Linked DNA regions of Saccharomyces cerevisiae S288C. The protein of the gene in region 4 interacts with the protein of the main gene of each other region in a pairwise test. Each region holds a gene or a part of one and is shown on either strand. Other genes may lie near its edges. The genes, in order: FOB1, NET1, RIO1 and TOF2.

Evidence for each region.
Region 1: the proteins of TOF2 (region 4) and FOB1 interact in a two-hybrid assay, tested with the Saccharomyces cerevisiae proteins (one study listed by BioGRID).
Region 2: the proteins of TOF2 (region 4) and NET1 interact in binary tests that used the Saccharomyces cerevisiae proteins (3 or more experiments, as listed by UniProt).
Region 3: the proteins of TOF2 (region 4) and RIO1 interact in a two-hybrid assay, tested with the Saccharomyces cerevisiae proteins (one study listed by BioGRID).

What each region holds. Positions count from the first base shown.
Region 1 is NC_001136.10:674,253-678,361, reverse strand, and holds FOB1 (replication fork barrier binding protein FOB1), read right to left. Parts: upstream 2,261-4,109; coding exon 560-2,260; downstream 1-559. Other genes in the region: alanine transaminase ALT2, read left to right, coding at 1-121; YDR109C (putative phosphotransferase), read left to right, coding at 2,695-4,109.
Region 2 is NC_001142.9:293,627-299,354, reverse strand, and holds NET1 (Net1p), read right to left. Parts: upstream 4,111-5,728; coding exon 541-4,110; downstream 1-540. Other genes in the region: cohesin subunit SMC3, read left to right, coding at 1-198; APQ13 (Apq13p), read left to right, coding at 479-895; YJL077W-A (uncharacterized protein), read right to left, coding at 4,470-4,556; ICS3 (Ics3p), read left to right, coding at 4,294-4,689; YJL077W-B (uncharacterized protein), read right to left, coding at 5,210-5,308; PRY3 (Pry3p), read left to right, coding at 5,374-5,728. UniProt on the Saccharomyces cerevisiae protein: Has a role in chromosome maintenance and is involved in mitotic exit. Inhibits the action of CDC14 by sequestering it in the nucleolus. Also binds to RNA polymerase I and stimulates rRNA synthesis.
Region 3 is NC_001147.6:548,234-552,243, reverse strand, and holds RIO1 (protein kinase RIO1), read left to right. Parts: upstream 1-1,997; coding exon 1,998-3,452; downstream 3,453-4,010. Other genes in the region: glycerol 2-dehydrogenase (NADP(+)) GCY1, read right to left, coding at 192-1,130; RTC5 (Rtc5p), read right to left, coding at 3,684-4,010. UniProt on the Saccharomyces cerevisiae protein: Required for the final endonucleolytic cleavage at site D converting 20S pre-rRNA into the mature 18S rRNA. Required for the final steps of cytoplasmic maturation of the 40S ribosomal subunit.
Region 4 is NC_001143.9:458,402-462,999, forward strand, and holds TOF2 (Tof2p), read right to left. Parts: upstream 2,839-4,598; coding exon 523-2,838; downstream 1-522. Other genes in the region: chromatin-associated RNAPIII regulator FPT1, read right to left, coding at 3,234-4,295.

The DNA.
Region 1 (4,109 bases), on a different chromosome or scaffold from region 4:
TGGGTTCGGACAAAGACCCGGGACTTATCATGTGCGAACAACGTTTTTGGCTCCAGGGACTAAATGGATTCAAGACTGGAAAGAATTTCATCAAGATTTCTTCAGCAAGTATCGTAATTGAATGAAAAAAAAAAACTAATGATAATGGCTTTCTATTTGTTTTGCATCCATGGTGGGGGTGAAGTTTAAATTTGTAATAGTATACATGCATCATTCTTTACTAAGGGAAATAAGGAAAAGTATATATCTGCCTCTTGTAATATTGTTCAAGGAAATAAATTTTGGAGCATTCCTCTGCATCTATTGTTCAATTAAAAAAAAAAAAAAAAAAAAAAAAAAAAAAAAAAAGTAATTATTCATATAAAACCACCTTGCGGGCAAGATCATATTATCCAAGTTGATACTTATTTAAAAATATAAAAATTTTTTAACCGCGTACATTAAATACAGGGTCATATACAGGAAGAGCTTTCAACACCTTTTTGAATACTTTATATGCAATAGGTGCTTTTTTTTTTCACCTATGGTGACTCCTCCTTTCATTCTATCCTACATATTATTACAATTCCATTGATGTGCCAAAGTCTCTTGTTTGATCTCCATTACCCTGTTGGTCTAATTTCTGTCGTTTTGTTGACGGCGATTCCAGAGTTTGATAGTAGGAAGTTTCTGGTCTAGTTATTTCGACACTTTGATCTACTTGTGATGCACCGTCACTTTCTTTTTGATCCCCTTTTTCAGGCTCTTCTGTTCCCTGCATTGGGGCTGCCACGCCGGTGGACTCTATTCGGTCCTCATCGACATTATGAGGAGGCTTTTCTTCGGGAGTTAAGGTATTAGGTTCAAATTCGCCCTCTGAAGAATCATGTGCCAAATCATCATACTCATCGATATAGTTTTTTTCAGTTAGATCAAATTGTTTTTGCACTTCTTCTTCAAAGTTATCATTTCCTATATTGTTATTATGAAGAATTCCATTATTGTTACAGCTATTATCCGCTTCATTAGCAAGGGCAAAAGTATTGACATCTTCCAAATATATAAGACCTTTTCCACCTGCCATCTTGAACATATTACGGGAATATGTGTTTTCTATAACCCTTTCTCTCTTAGTCTCAAACTTGGCATTGTGACCTGGAACTTCACTAAGTAGTACTTGCACAGGTTTACGTTTCGTTCTCTTATTTCTCCTTCGGTTGAATCTGTAAGGGCCATATCTTAGGCACTTACCCCAATCGGCTAGACATTCCTTCTTATAACTATTTAGAGCATACTGAATGCACAGTATACCCCCAGTATGAAATCTCGCAGAACTCTTCAAACCCAAGCCAATACGGAGACCGTATTTTGATGCAATTTCTTCACAAATATCATAAAGATCATCTTTATCTAAAGTGCTTGATGTTACGAAAATTGGAACCCTAGCAAATGTTAAAAAAAGTGAGGAAACAACTGGGATAAGATGTTTGAATTTGGTACTCTTAAGTGGTAATAACCACATAAAACTAGAGCGATAGTCTCGGCATAAAAGGACATAAGAATATTTTCCCTCAATAGCTTCTCCATTGAAGGGTTCGAATACCTCAATATGTATCCTTTCCATTGGTAGTAGTTTATCGTACATGTCAGGACGTTTATATTCCTTCAATGGTTTAATTTTGCCCTTTTTATTACATTTTGAACAAAATTGCTGGACCCAATCGATGATGGCATGACTAATATTGGCAAAATGAGAAAATAAAAAGGAATGTAATGTTTTACCCCTAAGATGCTTATTCATCAAGTGTGTTGCCATCACCATGTCGTATACATGCTTTGGCTCACAGTATATTTTATCATTATTTCGGCCATCTCTAACATTTCCTTCATCATCAACATAATACTGTCTTTGCAAAAATAACAGCTTGTTTTCTGCCACTACACCATCGTATTTATCACTTATTTGTTGCAAGGTATCTGCAGTTAAAGATTTTGTTTTTATTAGTTCATATATTTTCTGCGTTAGTTGTCTTGTCAGAGATTCAAGAAAGATTGGTGTTTCTCTTTCTCCCCTTTCCAATAATTCTAAGTTCAAATAAGAGTCTACGTACTCAGTATATGATTCCCCCATAGAGGGAAGTATCAGTAGACGATCTTTTGAGGACTCTCTTGATTCCCCAGGTGACGTTGCCTTTCTTCTCTGCGATTTCCTCGTAACTGATTCTGATGGTACCGAGTCATCATCATCAAACAACACGTCATTGTAACGCGGTTTCGTCATTGTTATCCTCAGCACAAATTCACACTCACACAATCGTTAAATTGTTCTCCCCCCTGAAGGCTTAATTCAATGTCGTTAAAATGAATACATGCGATGAGGAATCACCTCGCAATTTTTTTTTCTTTTCAATATATCGCGAAAAAGAAAAAATATCAGTATTATCATGTAAATAATTATGGCTGACACCTCATATTGAATGTGGGGGTAAAGATACTCTGGGTTTCTTGTTTTGATATATATAAGCTCTTCCTGGAAACCTCGATCACAATGTTAGGTATGATGAAGAAATTGAACCTTTATAACACCCGTTTGACTAAATGCTACAGACCAGTATTAGTAAATGTGGAAAGCTGCACACCCAGACCGCTGAGTACAATGAAAAGATGTAAAGAGACGAAGGAACAAACATCTGCAAAGTACATTATTAAGGCTATATGAAAAGCAGGAAACGCCAAAACAATATGCAAAATGAAACACGGGAGCCAGCGGTATTGTCGTCACAGGAAACCTCGATTTCTCGCATTTCTCCACAAGATCCAGAAGCAAAATTCTACGTTGGTGTAGATGTCGGAACAGGCTCTGCAAGGGCATGTGTTATCGATCAATCTGGTAACATGTTGTCGCTAGCAGAAAAACCCATAAAAAGGGAACAATTGATATCCAATTTTATTACTCAGTCTTCAAGAGAAATCTGGAATGCAGTTTGCTATTGTGTTAGAACTGTTGTTGAAGAATCAGGAGTTGACCCTGAAAGAGTTCGTGGAATTGGTTTTGATGCGACTTGTTCCTTAGTAGTCGTATCCGCTACCAATTTTGAAGAAATTGCAGTTGGACCGGATTTTACCAATAATGACCAGAATATCATATTATGGATGGACCATAGGGCGATGAAGGAGACTGAAGAAATCAACTCATCTGGTGATAAATGTTTAAAATATGTGGGAGGGCAAATGTCTGTTGAAATGGAAATTCCGAAGATTAAGTGGTTGAAGAACAACTTAGAAGCTGGAATTTTTCAGGATTGTAAGTTTTTTGACCTTCCGGATTACTTGACTTTCAAAGCCACGGGAAAAGAGAATAGGTCATTTTGTTCTGCTGTTTGTAAGCAGGGATTTCTACCAGTGGGTGTCGAAGGTTCCGATATAGGCTGGTCCAAAGAATTCTTAAATTCAATTGGGCTTTCAGAGCTTACGAAGAATGATTTTGAAAGACTGGGTGGATCGTTAAGGGAAAAAAAAAACTTTCTGACCGCAGGTGAATGTATCAGCCCGTTAGATAAAAAGGCTGCCTGTCAATTAGGCTTGACAGAGCATTGTGTAGTAAGTTCAGGAATTATTGATGCATATGCAGGCTGGGTAGGGACGGTAGCCGCCAAGCCGGAATCAGCAGTAAAAGGTCTTGCCGAGACCGAAAATTATAAAAAGGATTTCAATGGTGCAATTGGCAGATTGGCAGCTGTTGCCGGTACGTCTACGTGTCATATTTTGTTATCAAAAAACCCTATATTTGTCCATGGCGTTTGGGGGCCTTATAGAGATGTCCTTGCAAGAGGCTTTTGGGCGGCAGAAGGCGGCCAAAGCTGTACAGGCGTTCTTTTAGATCATTTAATAACGACGCATCCAGCTTTCACTGAGCTATCCCATATGGCTAATTTGGCAGGTGTGTCGAAATTCGAATATTTAAACAAAATACTTGAAACCTTGGTCGAGAAGCGCAAAGTAAGATCTGTTATTTCTTTAGCTAAGCACTTGTTTTTTTATGGTGACTATCACGGTAATCGATCACCGATAGCAGATCCGAATATGCGCGCTTGTATTATAGGACAATCTATGGATAACTCAATTGAAGA
Region 2 (5,728 bases), on a different chromosome or scaffold from region 4:
ACTGCAGTCGCTACACTTCTAAAAGAACTGTCAAAAAATGCCCAGTTTATTTGTACGACGTTCAGAACAGATATGTTGCAAGTTGCAGACAAATTTTTCCGTGTTAAGTACGAGAATAAGATTTCCACGGTTATTGAGGTCAATAGAGAAGAAGCAATCGGATTCATTAGAGGTAGCAATAAATTCGCTGAAGTCTAAGAGATATTTGAAACGATTTGTATATAAAAATATCAGTTTTGCTTACATAAATAGCTATTTGTATGTAATTATTACCATTGTCTCCTATATTGGAATTTTAAAAAATTTTCTTTTAAGATGATACTGTTACTAAACAATAATGTTAAATATAGTAACCAAGCTTTGATAATTCGACGTACAAAAAAGATTACTTTTCTTAAAGAAGTTGCCCGCTTGCTGGGAAAAGAGGTAAATAAGAATTGGTTTACATGAAGATTTTTTAATATATTAATACTTTTATATGCTTGATTATTTTTTTTTACTAGCTTTCTGTGACGTGTATTCTACTGAGACTTTCTGGTATCATTTTTTCTTGAAATCTTTTATTAATGATGCAAATCCACCACTTGGCTTCTTCTTCTTACCTAAAGCAGCACTAGCGGATTTCGCACTAATAAAACTTTTTCCATCATCAGATGAATCCCCTGAGTCATCAGAATCTGACTCAGATTTAGAATCTGAACTGGAATCCGATACGGAGTCCGAACTGGAGTTAGAGTCAGAATCAGAGCTAGATTCATCATCACTACTTGAAGGGGCTTTTGTTTGTGACTTCTCATTCGATTTAGAAGTTTTTTCCTTTACATCTGGGATGCCTCTTGAAACAAGATCAGATAATGAACTCAAAGAAGGACGAACTTTTCTTGGAAGGTCATGAAGTATACTAGACGGATTTGAGGTGGTCTTGGATTTAACTGACGGAGGAGACGACATGTCCATTAGCTGTGTAACTGGAATTTTATCAGGGGTGGCATTGATTTTTTTGTTAACAGATGGAGAGGGGGCTTCAATCTTAGATGAAGATCTAACTGGTTCTCTTGGTGTATTTACAACAACTCTTCTAGCCTTCCTGGATGTTGAAGTTTCCTCATCAGAAGACGAGGAAGATGAACTAGACTCGTCTTCTGTGGAAGAACCTGAGGAGCTAGAATCATCATCGTTTGCACTAGAATTATTTTTTTCATTAGAAATTATTCCAGGTGGCACGAGTGTTTTACTATTAGTAAATTTAGCCTTCAAATCCTTCAATTTATCATTTGCACTGGGCTTAGGAAGCTGAACATTGCCTTCTTTTAAGTGATCTGTCATTTTTAACTTTTTCTGAGATACCTGTTTGCTTTTGGAGTCTTCTTTTTCCTTCGAGTTATTTTTATCGTTAGCATCCTGTATATTGGCAGATGCTTTTTCTGGTTCCTTGGACCCCTCTGCTTTCTTGTTCAAGTCTTCACCTCCTATGTTTGCGCTTTTCAAATCTGCAACCCTAGAAGTTGTTTCCTTCTGCTGCCTATCAATCTGCGCAGACTCATTCTTGGCCTTCGTTTTAACATTTTTACGATTTCCTTCTTCATTGAAAGAGGTAGTTCCTTTAGTAGCAACAGAAGGAGACCCACCAACAACAGGAAAAGACGATGCTTGTGTTGCTGGCTTAGTTTCCACCTTTGTAGCTTCATTTTGCTTCTTGTTTGAATTCGGATAAAAGCTTTTCGCCATTTGTTCACTTATTTTGCTATTTGTTACTGAAGATTCACTCACGGCTGACTTTTTTTGACTATCTCTTTTGTCGTTTCTTTCTTCATCAACTTCTTTATTGATTATCTTTGAGTCTTTCACTGGAACAACACTGCCTTTCAAAGAATGTAAAGAAATGTCTTTGGGCCCATTATTAGGCACCGACATATTTTTCCTTTTAAAATCATCGTCTGATGAGAAATCTGTTTCAATCCCACTCTCTGACTCATCGTCTGTGGACGCTGCCGAACTAGAATCTTCAGTACTTTTCTGTGGGACTTCGTTTTTCTTGGCACCTGCCAATAATTGGGCAGCCCTCTTAGCCGCACTTCTTGGGGTTCGCTGGGGCAAAATATTTCTTGGATCTGGCTTAGAATTGTCTATGTCTTTATTCAAAACCGTTGTGTAAGGCTTTGAATTTTTGGAATTACCGGAAGTTCTCGAATTTTTGCCCTTAAACCATTGCGGTAGATCTGTATCATCACCTTCGATCATTTTGAAAAGATCTGACTTTGGGAAACTAGAGGAATCTGAATCTTGAGGAACAATACGAACCGTAGTATCAACTTCATCATTATCATTGCCATCGTCCTCAATGGTGCCGTTAATGATAGTGCCATCTTCCTTTGAAGCGTTGTTGTTTGAACTAACTTTCCCAGCTAGTGATTTCAACGTCCCATTAGACTTATCAGATGATGCAAGTATTGGCTGATCATTATGTGGAATTGTCGGCAAAATTTCCTTTTCTAAAAGTTTATCATTCGTATCTTCTTTTTCTCTTACCTGATTATCATCTAGGAAATTAGTCATTCTTTTCGGTTCCACAATACCGGAAGGTTCCGCCTGAGATTTCTTTTCCACTATAGTTTCCAGTGAACTCTTTCTTGGTGGTTGATGTTCTTGTTGCTTTCCCCAGGATTCGCCATTTGAAGATTTGGTGATCGAGGTATTGCTTGCCTTGGGAAGTTCTGCTAAATGCACATTGTGTGGCATGGCATCACCGAGAGGACTATTTTTCACCGGAGAGCCATTATTATCTGCGATGGAGCTTTGACTACGTTGCAAGGAAGCCTTTGAATGTGGTTCTGTTTCAGGAGTTTCTTGGTTTTCGCTACTTGAGCTATCGTCGGATTCGTAGTTCTCGCCATTTTCCAAGTAAGGTTTTTTCATTGGAATCTTTGCAGCTTTAGCGGGTAAAATGGAGGCCGGACTGGAAGGTCCCTCTTTTAACTCTTTTTCAATCTCTGAGATTCTTGGCTCGGGGATTTTCAACATTCCTGATGTTATTCTTGGAGTGGTTACGGGTGGTTTCCTATTAATGTCCTGAGCAGTGACAGCAGCTGTGCCACCATTAGCAAATGAAGAGGAAGAAGCTGAAGCAGAGAAAACCAATTCGTTTTTATGTGCGTGTTCAGAAACCACTCTCTGACCGGTAAGAGTAACTCTGTTTGGAGTCATGGTGGACATTATAGGAGTTCCGGACAATAGACGTTGCTGCTTTGTTTTATCTGGATCCACGGTTGCTGATCTGGACACGATATCTTCCTCGACGATGCTTGATTTTATTTTTTTACCTGCGTCAATGCCCGAACTAATTCTTATGGGAGGTGACTGAGGCTGCGTTGGAGGCGGCAAAAAGGATCTTTCACCAATGTCTTCGTCTTCGTCATCTGAGTTGTTGGAGACGATCTTCGAAGAAGGTGGAGGATAAATTTGCCTAGCCAATGGGGTAGAAACCCTCATGGATCCATTAGTGGCACTACGAATGGTTGTTGTTGTCGTGGTTCCTGTAGGTGGCCTCTTCTTGGCAATCCGAAGAACACCTGAAGAGGACGGGATTTGTTGTTGCGGCTGCACCGACTGGGGCGACCCGTTGTTCAACTTGGATCGTTTTACCGACTTATAAAGTGACACTGGTGCGGAATCGTCCAGATCTATCTCATTCTTCAATATAACTCTTACGATATTATTTACATTGAAAACGTCCTTTACCAAAAAATCCGGATCAAGGTCACAACCGCTGTTATCTTGCAAACTCAAAATTTCAATGTCTTCTTGCAAACTCGGGTACATTTTTTCACACTTATCGATGATTTCATCACTCAAGTTCAACAGCGTGTTTGTCGGCTTGGTAAACAAAAGAAACTTCCTAAACCTAGACTGGTTGAAATAGCTTGGCGTGAAACTCACATTGGCAGATCTCAGATTAGCATACTGCAAAGAGGCATCTCCGGCGCTTTGCGCCATATTAGTTCTGTTTGGCAACAATTGAGAAGATTCGGCGATGGTTGGTCCGTAGCCAAACTGTATTGGCATCGTCGCCTGAAGACTCGGAGGCACCAAGACCACTTGTAGCTTGTACATAGAAGGAGGCACGGTGTACAGTAATCGACTTCTCTCTGTTTCAGGCGAACCGAGACTAGGGATTCGATCAGCTCCGGCACTTATTTCATCGTGCTAGCTACTCTTCACTAGTTATTCAAATTGATTATTGACGCTTACCATGAAAAAGAAAAAAAGTTCAAAACATGTGGAACGGGTAACATAATGCACATATCGCTCCCTACGAGAAACAAATCTTATTTTCGAATACGTACACGTACATATCAAATAGGCTTATATCATTCTGACTCTTCACCAATCAGGGACATATCAGTACTACATCTGTTAATAGCAACGTTATGCACTATTTTTTTTCCAATTTTTTTTTCGTTGAGTAAAGTTCAGGTCGTACAGTGGCAAGGAACGACTATTTCTAAAAACTGTATTGCCTTAACCATGTCTTTCCCCTTGAACGCTATCCCTGGCATGTATCTGATAATTGCTTTCCCTCGTCTACAAACAGTAATTCCCCTGCAGCGAAATACTCCTGTTCGAATTACGAAATCGGTGATAGTGAAAGGCGCAGTGAGCGTGCCACGGATCTCCTCTCCGATGCACTAGGGTCCTGTTCCGTGCTCTGGTATCTCGATTAGGAAAGCGGAAGAAAAGAACGGAGGATACCTCTAATTAAGAGGGTCCGTTGTGTTGTGTTAAGCTCGGGTATAGGAAACTTGAAGAGAGGCGAAAAAAACCCAACGATGTGAGGAACGCGTCGCTATTGTTGGTAAGTTTGGCCGAAAAATTGTTTTTCTTCGCACATGGCTGGTTCTGCTGGAGGCGGCTGGGTGTTTATAGTTACCGCAATGCAGGTCGCTTCGTTTACTTTTCTCTGCGTGCTCGAGAACTGATAAATACTGGTTTAGGAAAACCGTCCACTTATGGATTTAACAAGGAGGTGAAAGGTAGGTACCATGGCAATATAGCTAGCAACGCTACGCACTAGCTGTGTGTGCTTGCTCTCTTGTGTTCGTCTTTCGTATATTGCGGGTTCCCGCGGTTAATTCAACAACAAATATGGTATCTAGGCAGGGACCCAGCAACGGAAGGATGTAATTGCTATATAGGGCCGATGAAACAGTTCTCATGTTTCAACTCGGTCGAAGAATTCTCTAAAACATATTCTATACTTCAAAGTTTTTAGCTTCTTGCTTTTCGGTAGTTGCCAAACCAATATCGGCATAAAATTATAATTGCTGCACCCCTGCAACTCCAAACAACTTAAAACAACTTAAAACGAAAACGCTTATGCTGGAGTTTCCAATATCAGTTCTGCTAGGATGCCTAGTAGCCGTCAAGGCACAAACCACGTTTCCAAACTTCGAGAGCGATGTGCTGAACGAGCATAACAAGTTCAGAGCGCTACATGTTGACACAGCGCCGCTCACCTGGTCCGACACTCTGGCCACCTATGCGCAGAACTACGCCGACCAATATGATTGTTCGGGTGTCTTAACGCATTCCGATGGCCCATATGGTGAGAACCTTGCCCTTGGTTACACAGACACGGGAGCGGTGGACGCCTGGTACGGGGAGATAAGCAAGTATAATTATTCAAATCCCGGATTTTCTGAATCCACGGGTCACTTCACACAGGTGGTTT
Region 3 (4,010 bases), on a different chromosome or scaffold from region 4:
GATTTCGCTTCCTATTTTACAAATATTTTATTGATTGACGCTAATTATCACTGTAAAAGGCGCACTTTTTATATGTAGTCACATCCGGTATTTAACATATTTACGAAACAGTCTTAAGAATATCGACATTTGATATACTTATGTTTAATTTATCTACATATTACAATCATACGAGAAACACGCAAAAACAATTACTTGAATACTTCGAAAGGAGACCAATTTGGATGTACAACCCTTTTTTCGCCCTTTTCCTTCGATATGTTATTGATAGCTTCAAAGTCCTCAGTAGACAAAGTAAATATTTTCCTGTTCGTTTTGATTCGATCGGGATTCACAGATTTTGGCAAGACAACATAACCTCTTTGGACGTGCCAGCTAATAACAACGTGTCCGGGTTGAACGTTATTTTTCTTCGCAATTTCAAGGATAACCGGTTCCTTCAATAGTGGAGCATCGGTACTACCTAACGGAGAATAAGCTTCAACCACAATGCCTTTACTTTTACAAAAATTAATCAATTCGTCTTGAGGTAGTAATGGATGTATTTCGACTTGGTTAGCAGCTGGCGTAAGCTTATTACCTTGAGATGCTAATAGATCTTTCAGGTTATTTATAGAAAAGTTGGAGACTCCAACGGCCTTAGTTTTACCAGTCTTTGGTAGTTCCTGCATTAATTCCCAGGTTTTGATGAAATTCCAATTGGTGATATCCACTGCACGAGAACCATCCTTCTTTGTTGGCACACTCAAGATGTCTTCATTTTTGATGTAGGCTGGATCTAATCTGGCAGGCCAATGCATCAAATATAAGTCTACGTAGTCCAATCCTAACCTCTTTAGTGATTGATCCAGCGCTACTTCAGGTTCGTGGTGTTGTGTACACCATAACTTTGTAGTAACAAAGATTTCTTCCCGAGGAACACCTGAATCCTTGATGGCTTGACCGACTTGGTCTTCATTACGGTAAATAGCAGCAGTATCAATGTGTCGGTAGCCATCTTTCAAAGCGGTTAAAACAGCCTTATAAGCATCGTTCTCTTTCGACTGCCACGTACCTAAACCTATTTGAGGGATTTGGGCTCCAGTATTTAGAGAAAGGATTTTCGTAGAATCATGTAAAGTAGCAGGCATTTTTCTATCTTAATTTAGTAATGAGAGCTGTCCAAATTTTAGCTTGCTAAGATGCACCTATTAAGCTCTCATCCTGAATCAAGTCATTAGAATGTCTTGATTCTCCCGGTTTTATACGCCCAGTAAAGCAATTCTTTACTGCCGTAGTCTTTTCCTGAAAGCTCGGTTTCTACTCTAGGGAATTAAGGAGAGCAGCGGTGTGCGATTCGTCACACGGGTGAATGCCTGATAGGCATATTATTAAGCCGTGTTTGCAATCTGCGTGCTAGATTGATTCTACCCCTTTCTGAGAAGGCGAAATGACCTTGCTATGACAATGAGGGAGAAAAGACCGCCCTTCCTTGTTCTTCCCCGGAATAGTCTGCCCCGATTGTTCGCCGGTGTTATAACTTACAATTCTTATACACTCCATAGGAAGTTTGTTGACAAGAGTTAAGTTTCAAATATCTAAAGCCAGGAAGTATGATCACCCAAGCATATCCATTGCAATATGTAAGACATTCAAGCGGATTTCTGGGACTTTAGAAAGTGAAATTTAAAAAAAAAAAAATTTAACAGAGGTCATACTTCCAAAAAAAAAAAAATGTAGAACTGGGCGAAATATCATCAGCTCATTCACTCTAATGCGGCCCTTCTGTAACCTCGAGCAAAGAGCCCAAATAACTTCATCTCTTCTCTCTTACGAACTGAAATATTCTCATGTTACCTATTGAGTAGTTGCGGGGACATTGGCGCGCGCAGAAAGAGTGAAAAATTTTATAGTGGAATATAGAAATTGAGATGAGATGAGATACTAAGACTAAAAATAATAGTAAAAAGAAGTTAAAACAGATTTAGAGATTCAAACTCCGTTATTTTTAGAAGGTCATGTCCTTGGAAGATAAATTTGATTCATTGTCTGTGTCGCAAGGTGCCTCGGACCATATTAATAATCAGCTCTTAGAGAAGTATAGTCACAAAATAAAAACTGATGAATTATCATTCAGCAGAGCGAAAACATCAAAGGATAAAGCAAATAGGGCGACTGTGGAAAATGTCTTAGATCCGAGAACTATGAGATTTTTGAAGTCTATGGTCACCAGAGGTGTGATTGCAGATTTGAACGGTTGCTTAAGTACTGGGAAAGAAGCTAATGTTTACCACGCTTTTGCAGGTACCGGTAAGGCACCCGTAATAGATGAGGAAACAGGCCAGTATGAAGTTTTAGAGACAGACGGATCCCGTGCAGAATATGCCATTAAGATTTATAAGACCTCTATCCTAGTCTTCAAAGATCGTGAAAGATATGTTGATGGTGAATTTAGATTTAGAAATTCCAGATCTCAACATAATCCAAGGAAAATGATTAAAATTTGGGCTGAAAAGGAATTTAGGAACCTGAAAAGAATTTATCAAAGTGGCGTCATTCCAGCTCCTAAGCCAATAGAAGTTAAGAACAACGTCTTAGTTATGGAATTTTTAAGCCGAGGTAATGGATTTGCCTCACCTAAATTAAAAGATTATCCGTACAAGAATCGTGATGAAATTTTCCATTATTATCACACAATGGTGGCATATATGAGATTGCTGTACCAAGTTTGTCGCCTGGTTCATGCCGATTTGTCAGAGTATAACACCATAGTTCATGATGATAAACTATATATGATCGATGTTTCCCAAAGTGTGGAACCTGAACATCCAATGAGTTTAGATTTTTTAAGGATGGATATCAAAAACGTTAACCTTTATTTCGAGAAGATGGGTATAAGTATTTTCCCTGAAAGGGTTATTTTTCAATTTGTCATATCAGAAACTTTGGAGAAATTTAAAGGTGATTATAACAATATTAGCGCCTTGGTTGCATACATTGCTAGTAATCTACCAATAAAATCTACAGAACAAGATGAGGCAGAAGATGAAATATTCAGATCGCTGCATTTAGTTAGATCATTGGGTGGATTAGAGGAAAGAGATTTTGATAGGTATACTGATGGTAAGTTTGACTTACTGAAAAGCTTGATTGCCCATGATAATGAACGCAATTTTGCTGCTTCTGAGCAATTTGAATTTGATAACGCTGACCACGAATGTAGTTCTGGCACAGAGGAATTCTCAGATGATGAAGAAGACGGCTCAAGCGGATCTGAAGAAGATGACGAGGAGGAGGGCGAGTACTATGACGATGATGAACCAAAAGTTTTAAAGGGGAAGAAACATGAGGACAAGGATTTAAAAAAATTGCGCAAGCAGGAAGCTAAAGATGCAAAAAGAGAAAAAAGGAAAACAAAAGTCAAGAAGCACATCAAGAAAAAATTGGTGAAAAAAACGAAATCAAAGAAATAATGCGGCCCTGTGAAAATACATTTGGGAATCGTTGTTTGGAGTCGAAGAACAGAAAGTAGGTCAGCAATTTAACGAAGAAAGTTCAAGACTAAAAGTGTAATATCAGTATCAAAAGTTTGGTACTTTTCATACAAGTGCAATAAATATTAAAATAAACAATAGCCTTATTTAGTGGTCTTGATTTTTAGTGAAATCAATCCCAATAACTAAAAACAGCAAAAAAGGCAGGCATCACATTGAACCGCCACCTTGATGTTGGCCAACTAAACCTGCCATTTCCAGTAAGGCACGGTCTTCTCCCAAGCTTCTCAGGTTAATTTGCTGTCTTCTTTTAGATTCTGCTTCTTCCCATTCCAACTGTTTGATTTGCTCTTCTAGTTCTTTCTCACCACCACAGCCCCATACCTCAACATCTTGAATCAAAAAATGCAATTCATAAGGGGAATTTTCCTCCTTTCTTTCCATCGACAATAAACCAGGGTCTAATGAACCTCCGTAACCAGTATTTCTAAACACAGCAAATTCTAATGTGCTGTCAAAAGTAAGCGACACGTTCCC
Region 4 (4,598 bases):
CACCGTATATGATAATATATTGATAATATAACTATTAGTTGATAGACGATAGTGGATTTTTATTCCAACACATATAAAGTTTAGAAAGATGACATAAAGATTAACTTAATACATGACTGGGTATACTTGAATTCTAAAATTTTCAACAAATAAGTGGTTGTTTGGCCGAGCGGTCTAAGGCGCCTGATTCAAGAAATATCTTGACCGCAGTTAACTGTGGGAATACTCAGGTATCGTAAGATGCAAGAGTTCGAATCTCTTAGCAACCATATTTTATATTTTTTTATATTGTGTTCAACAATGAACAATAATGACGAATAATCCAGAATGATATAAACGTCCATGAATAAAAGTCCGTTATAATCATATATAATTGATGCATACCGTACGCTATTAGTTCTCTTTTGTTGGTTGCTTTTGAAGATTTAATTATGATATCATTAACCAGTCTAAAAAATTACTACAATTCGCCAAGAATATTTAAGATATGGTTGAGAGATCCCAACATAATTACTGACAGACTTACTGGTCGTCTTCATCACTTTCAACATATTTAGGTGTTTGGTACTTCTTTGTATTTATTTCATTGTCATCCACATCCAGCATTGGTTTTCCATTAGAATTTCCAGCTGGTCCATGACTTGTTTTGAAATTAATTTTTTTAACTTGCACGTTCCTCGAATCAGAATCATCATCCGAATCATCTGAGGAAGAGCTATCCAATGAAGATTCAAGTGACATGGAAGAAGAAGAAGAAGGTGAAGAATGCGACCTGGTAACCTTGACTTTCTTGAGCTGCGGTGTTCTTTCTAAACTGGACGGTATCGCTTGGCCATTTTTTCTTTTTCCAGGAGTTGAATTCATAACTGGCAACTTGGGTGAGACTTGTTCTTGTTCCTGAGCCGTACTATTAGAAGTTGCCTCCACTTTGTCTTTACTATTATCAACAGGATCTCTCATTAATTTGACTACTTTTATGGTCGAAGCTGCATTTGGCGGTTTCCCAGCATTGGCAAAAATATCTTTTAGGGATCTATTCCCCATATTTCTTTTTCTTTTAAACTCTATAACTTTCGATCCAACATCATCAGTTTTTCGTTTCACTTTTATTTTACCAAATTTTGCGAATTTCTCACCGGAAATAATGGTATTGGGATCATCAAAGTGCTTTGTTTCCAGACTTACCCCTTTTGAAGTTATGGATTTGGGTTTATCTTTCTTCATTATTCCAAATTTTCCGTAATATGGTTCCGTAATACTATTCCTTTTTTGGACCTTAGTTTCCCCAGTTGGCTTGAACCTATTTAGTTTCCGAATAGTTTCTTGTATTTTTACGTCTTTTGCATGCGAAGTAGATGACGCAGCACCCAATGATTTATCAGGAAACTCCTTCTCAACAAGTCGAAATAGGGCTTCCTTACCTTGACTTTGATGTAACCGATTATTCAATTCTTTTTCAGGAAAAAAGGGAGGAGAAACAACATTTTTGGTACTTTGAGTACTTTGTACTGCATTTTCAATATCACTGTTGAATGAAACGCTATCCAAGTCGGAATTGATATCCCGAAATCCCATCGATGCCTTCTTAGAATTGTTGATAAACGAATCCGCACGATCATTATCGGTTTCATTAAAATCCTCTTCATCTGAAAATGCTTCTATCCTTCTACAATTCTCACCTATATCTTTGTCGTTCAATGGCAGATCATCACCTTTTTTGTTTTGAACTTTAATTTCTAAGGAACTCTTCCTGGGACTATGAGCACCACTAGAGGGGTTAGAATATTGTATATGCATATCAGAATTAGTATGAGAAGTAGTGCTCAATTGGAAGTCGGTATCAATCGAATCAAACGAAATTTGAGGGGAGTTTTCATCTGCGGGTTCATAATCAGCATCTTCTGACGAATTGCGTAAAAGATCTAAATCCTTTGATTCGGCCCTTTTAGCGCCATCATTTTTCTGTTGTTGAGTGGATGAAGGTATATTTTCTTTATTGTTATCACTCCCTTGCGTTACAACTCCCTCTTTAGCACGAGCGTGATCTTTTACGTCTTTGTGTACATTTGATGCCACTACTGTGGAAGTAAGTGGCATGGGACACTTTTCTTTATTCAGTGCATCATACTTGCTTGCAAGCGGTAGAATTTCGTTCATTAGCGGCGTTGATACTCTTGATTTATTAATGAAGTTATTCTTGAGCGAGCTTTTAGCTATTAGATGCATTGTATCTTTATTTGATATAGAAGATAAGTCTTCCTTAGAGATCTTTTTTCTCTTTTCAGTAACGATGGATTTTGTGGATGGCTTGTTGTCCTGCCGTCTCCGCTGTCTTGCCAATTGTAAAAGTGAAATATGTTGATTTCTACTCCAGTCTAATTCATCTTTTAAAATTACCAAAACCACACCATCATTTTCAAATACGTCTTTTATTATAAATTCAGAGTCCAAATCACAACCATGCCTATCTTGTAGAGATACGATTTCAATGGATTCTTTGAAATTTGGATAAAGTCTATCAAATTTAGTTAAAATTTCATTAGATAGTTGTAAAAGGGTATTGTCACCGTCCGTAAAATGTAAAAACTTTTTACAATTCGGGAGGTAGTTAATGAAATCACTACTACGATTCGACTGAATAGAATTTTGCGAAGACGGGCTCGTAGGAGAGGGGTCGCTACAGTTATTGATACTGTTGTTGTGCGTAATTATATCTTCATTATACTGGACCATAGGAGACACTGATTGTGGAGTATTCAAGCGTGCTTCGAGAAATGTGATAATATCTTGAGCACTTGGCGGCACCAGTACAATCTGTAACCTCCACATTTTTATCATTTACTTATTTGAACCAAACACCAAGGAGGGCAAAGGATATTATAAGAAATGTGGCAAAAGATTGGCGTATTTATTGAATGCTTGTATAATTGGGTAGCTAACCAAAAATGACTTGTTTTCCTTCTTCAGCGAAACTAATAAATAAACAAACAAACAAATTAGGACCATCTTGCATTTGAGATCTGAAGAATATGAAAAAAATTATATAACAGTATCGTATAATGCGACTTTTTTTCGTGATGCCTATGTAACAATAGTAGAGAAAAAACAGGTCACATTTCTATAAATGATTGAATAATTGGTTCTATATACGTACATACTTTTGGAGTTTTACTTTTATTCTCTTGATTTAATGGATGTAGATGCTATAAAAAGACATGTTTTCCCGGAAATAGTTAAAATGATATTTTGCCATTTTTATGCGGATGATGGCTATTAGGAGGGTTTTTAGTGATTTTTTTTTTTTCCACAAGCTGAAATTTTCGAGGTCTTTGTCTCGACCAGGCTCTCAAGTCAAAAGTTTCATAGTCTTCGGCCATCAATTTAAAATAGCTTTCAAAATTTGACTTGATCAGATCGTTTGTAGCACTTGAATGCATGAAATTCACGTTTGGTTTAGACTCAGGACCTTTATAGATGTAGTCTGTCGAGACAGCCTCATCATCGGTACTCAAAGATGAAGGAGACAGCGAATTTACCGGAGAAAAATGTCTTGATTCGCTTTCCAGAGATGCGGAAGGCTCATTGTTTGAGCACGATGCCAAACTATTTTCCTTAAGATTTTGTTCCTGGATGTTATACTTTTTCTTCATCGAGTTATGATAATTTTTTAAAGTTGTTGTCAAAAGTCGCTTATTCGATAAAACTTTGGTCTTTATGATAGCAATAGAAACAATATTTTTGAAGTTATCGAAAACCTCCATGTTGAACTGTTCCTGTTTTTTCTTTTGTTTGGCAATGCTTTGACATATTTTATCATATTGAGACCAAAATTGTTCAACGTTTAGTTTTGAGAGATCTCTATTCATTTTTTCTAGACAATTTTGTAACCAGGCCCGTTTATCATAATTTTTAAATCGTTGATCATTCTGGAAAACCTCCTTCCAGGAAGTGTTCTTAACCACGTTAGCGTCGTTATCCACGTACAACAAGGCAGACAACTTATTTAATTGCCAACGACCATCAGATTTCCAAATGAAAAAGGTGTCACTTATTTCTTCATATTCGAGAATGTAGAAATGGGGAATACAATTCGGCTTCAAATATGCGGGTGCACAATCTATCTTCAAATTTTCTGTTATGGTCTCAGAAGTTTGCAACTCAATCCCGTACAATTCTTGAATAGAATGCACGAACTTGATAACCTGAGTTAAAGTGAGACCTTCCTTAATACAGGTCAATTTAACACGTGGTTGTTCTTCACCAGCGTATAAGTAAACGGTTTCTAACTTGGACATGGTTTCCTTTCTTTGTACTTGGTATTTCTTCTTCTTTTTCTAGCTGTCTGTATGAGTACTTAACTGTAACAGAATAGTAATGGGTTCAGGCTAAATCTCTTTAATTATGGCACCTTTATGCTGATATAAATCCCTATACATTTCTTAGGGGTGTGTTTTGGTTTTTGGTCTCATAGTTTTGACAGCACGTTGGAACGCCACTCATGCCTTAAAAGGCCGGGTAATGATTTATAGTCCAATTATATCACAGCACTACAAGACGTCAAAAATTCACGGCGGCAAAAGGTCTGTAACTACCTAAAC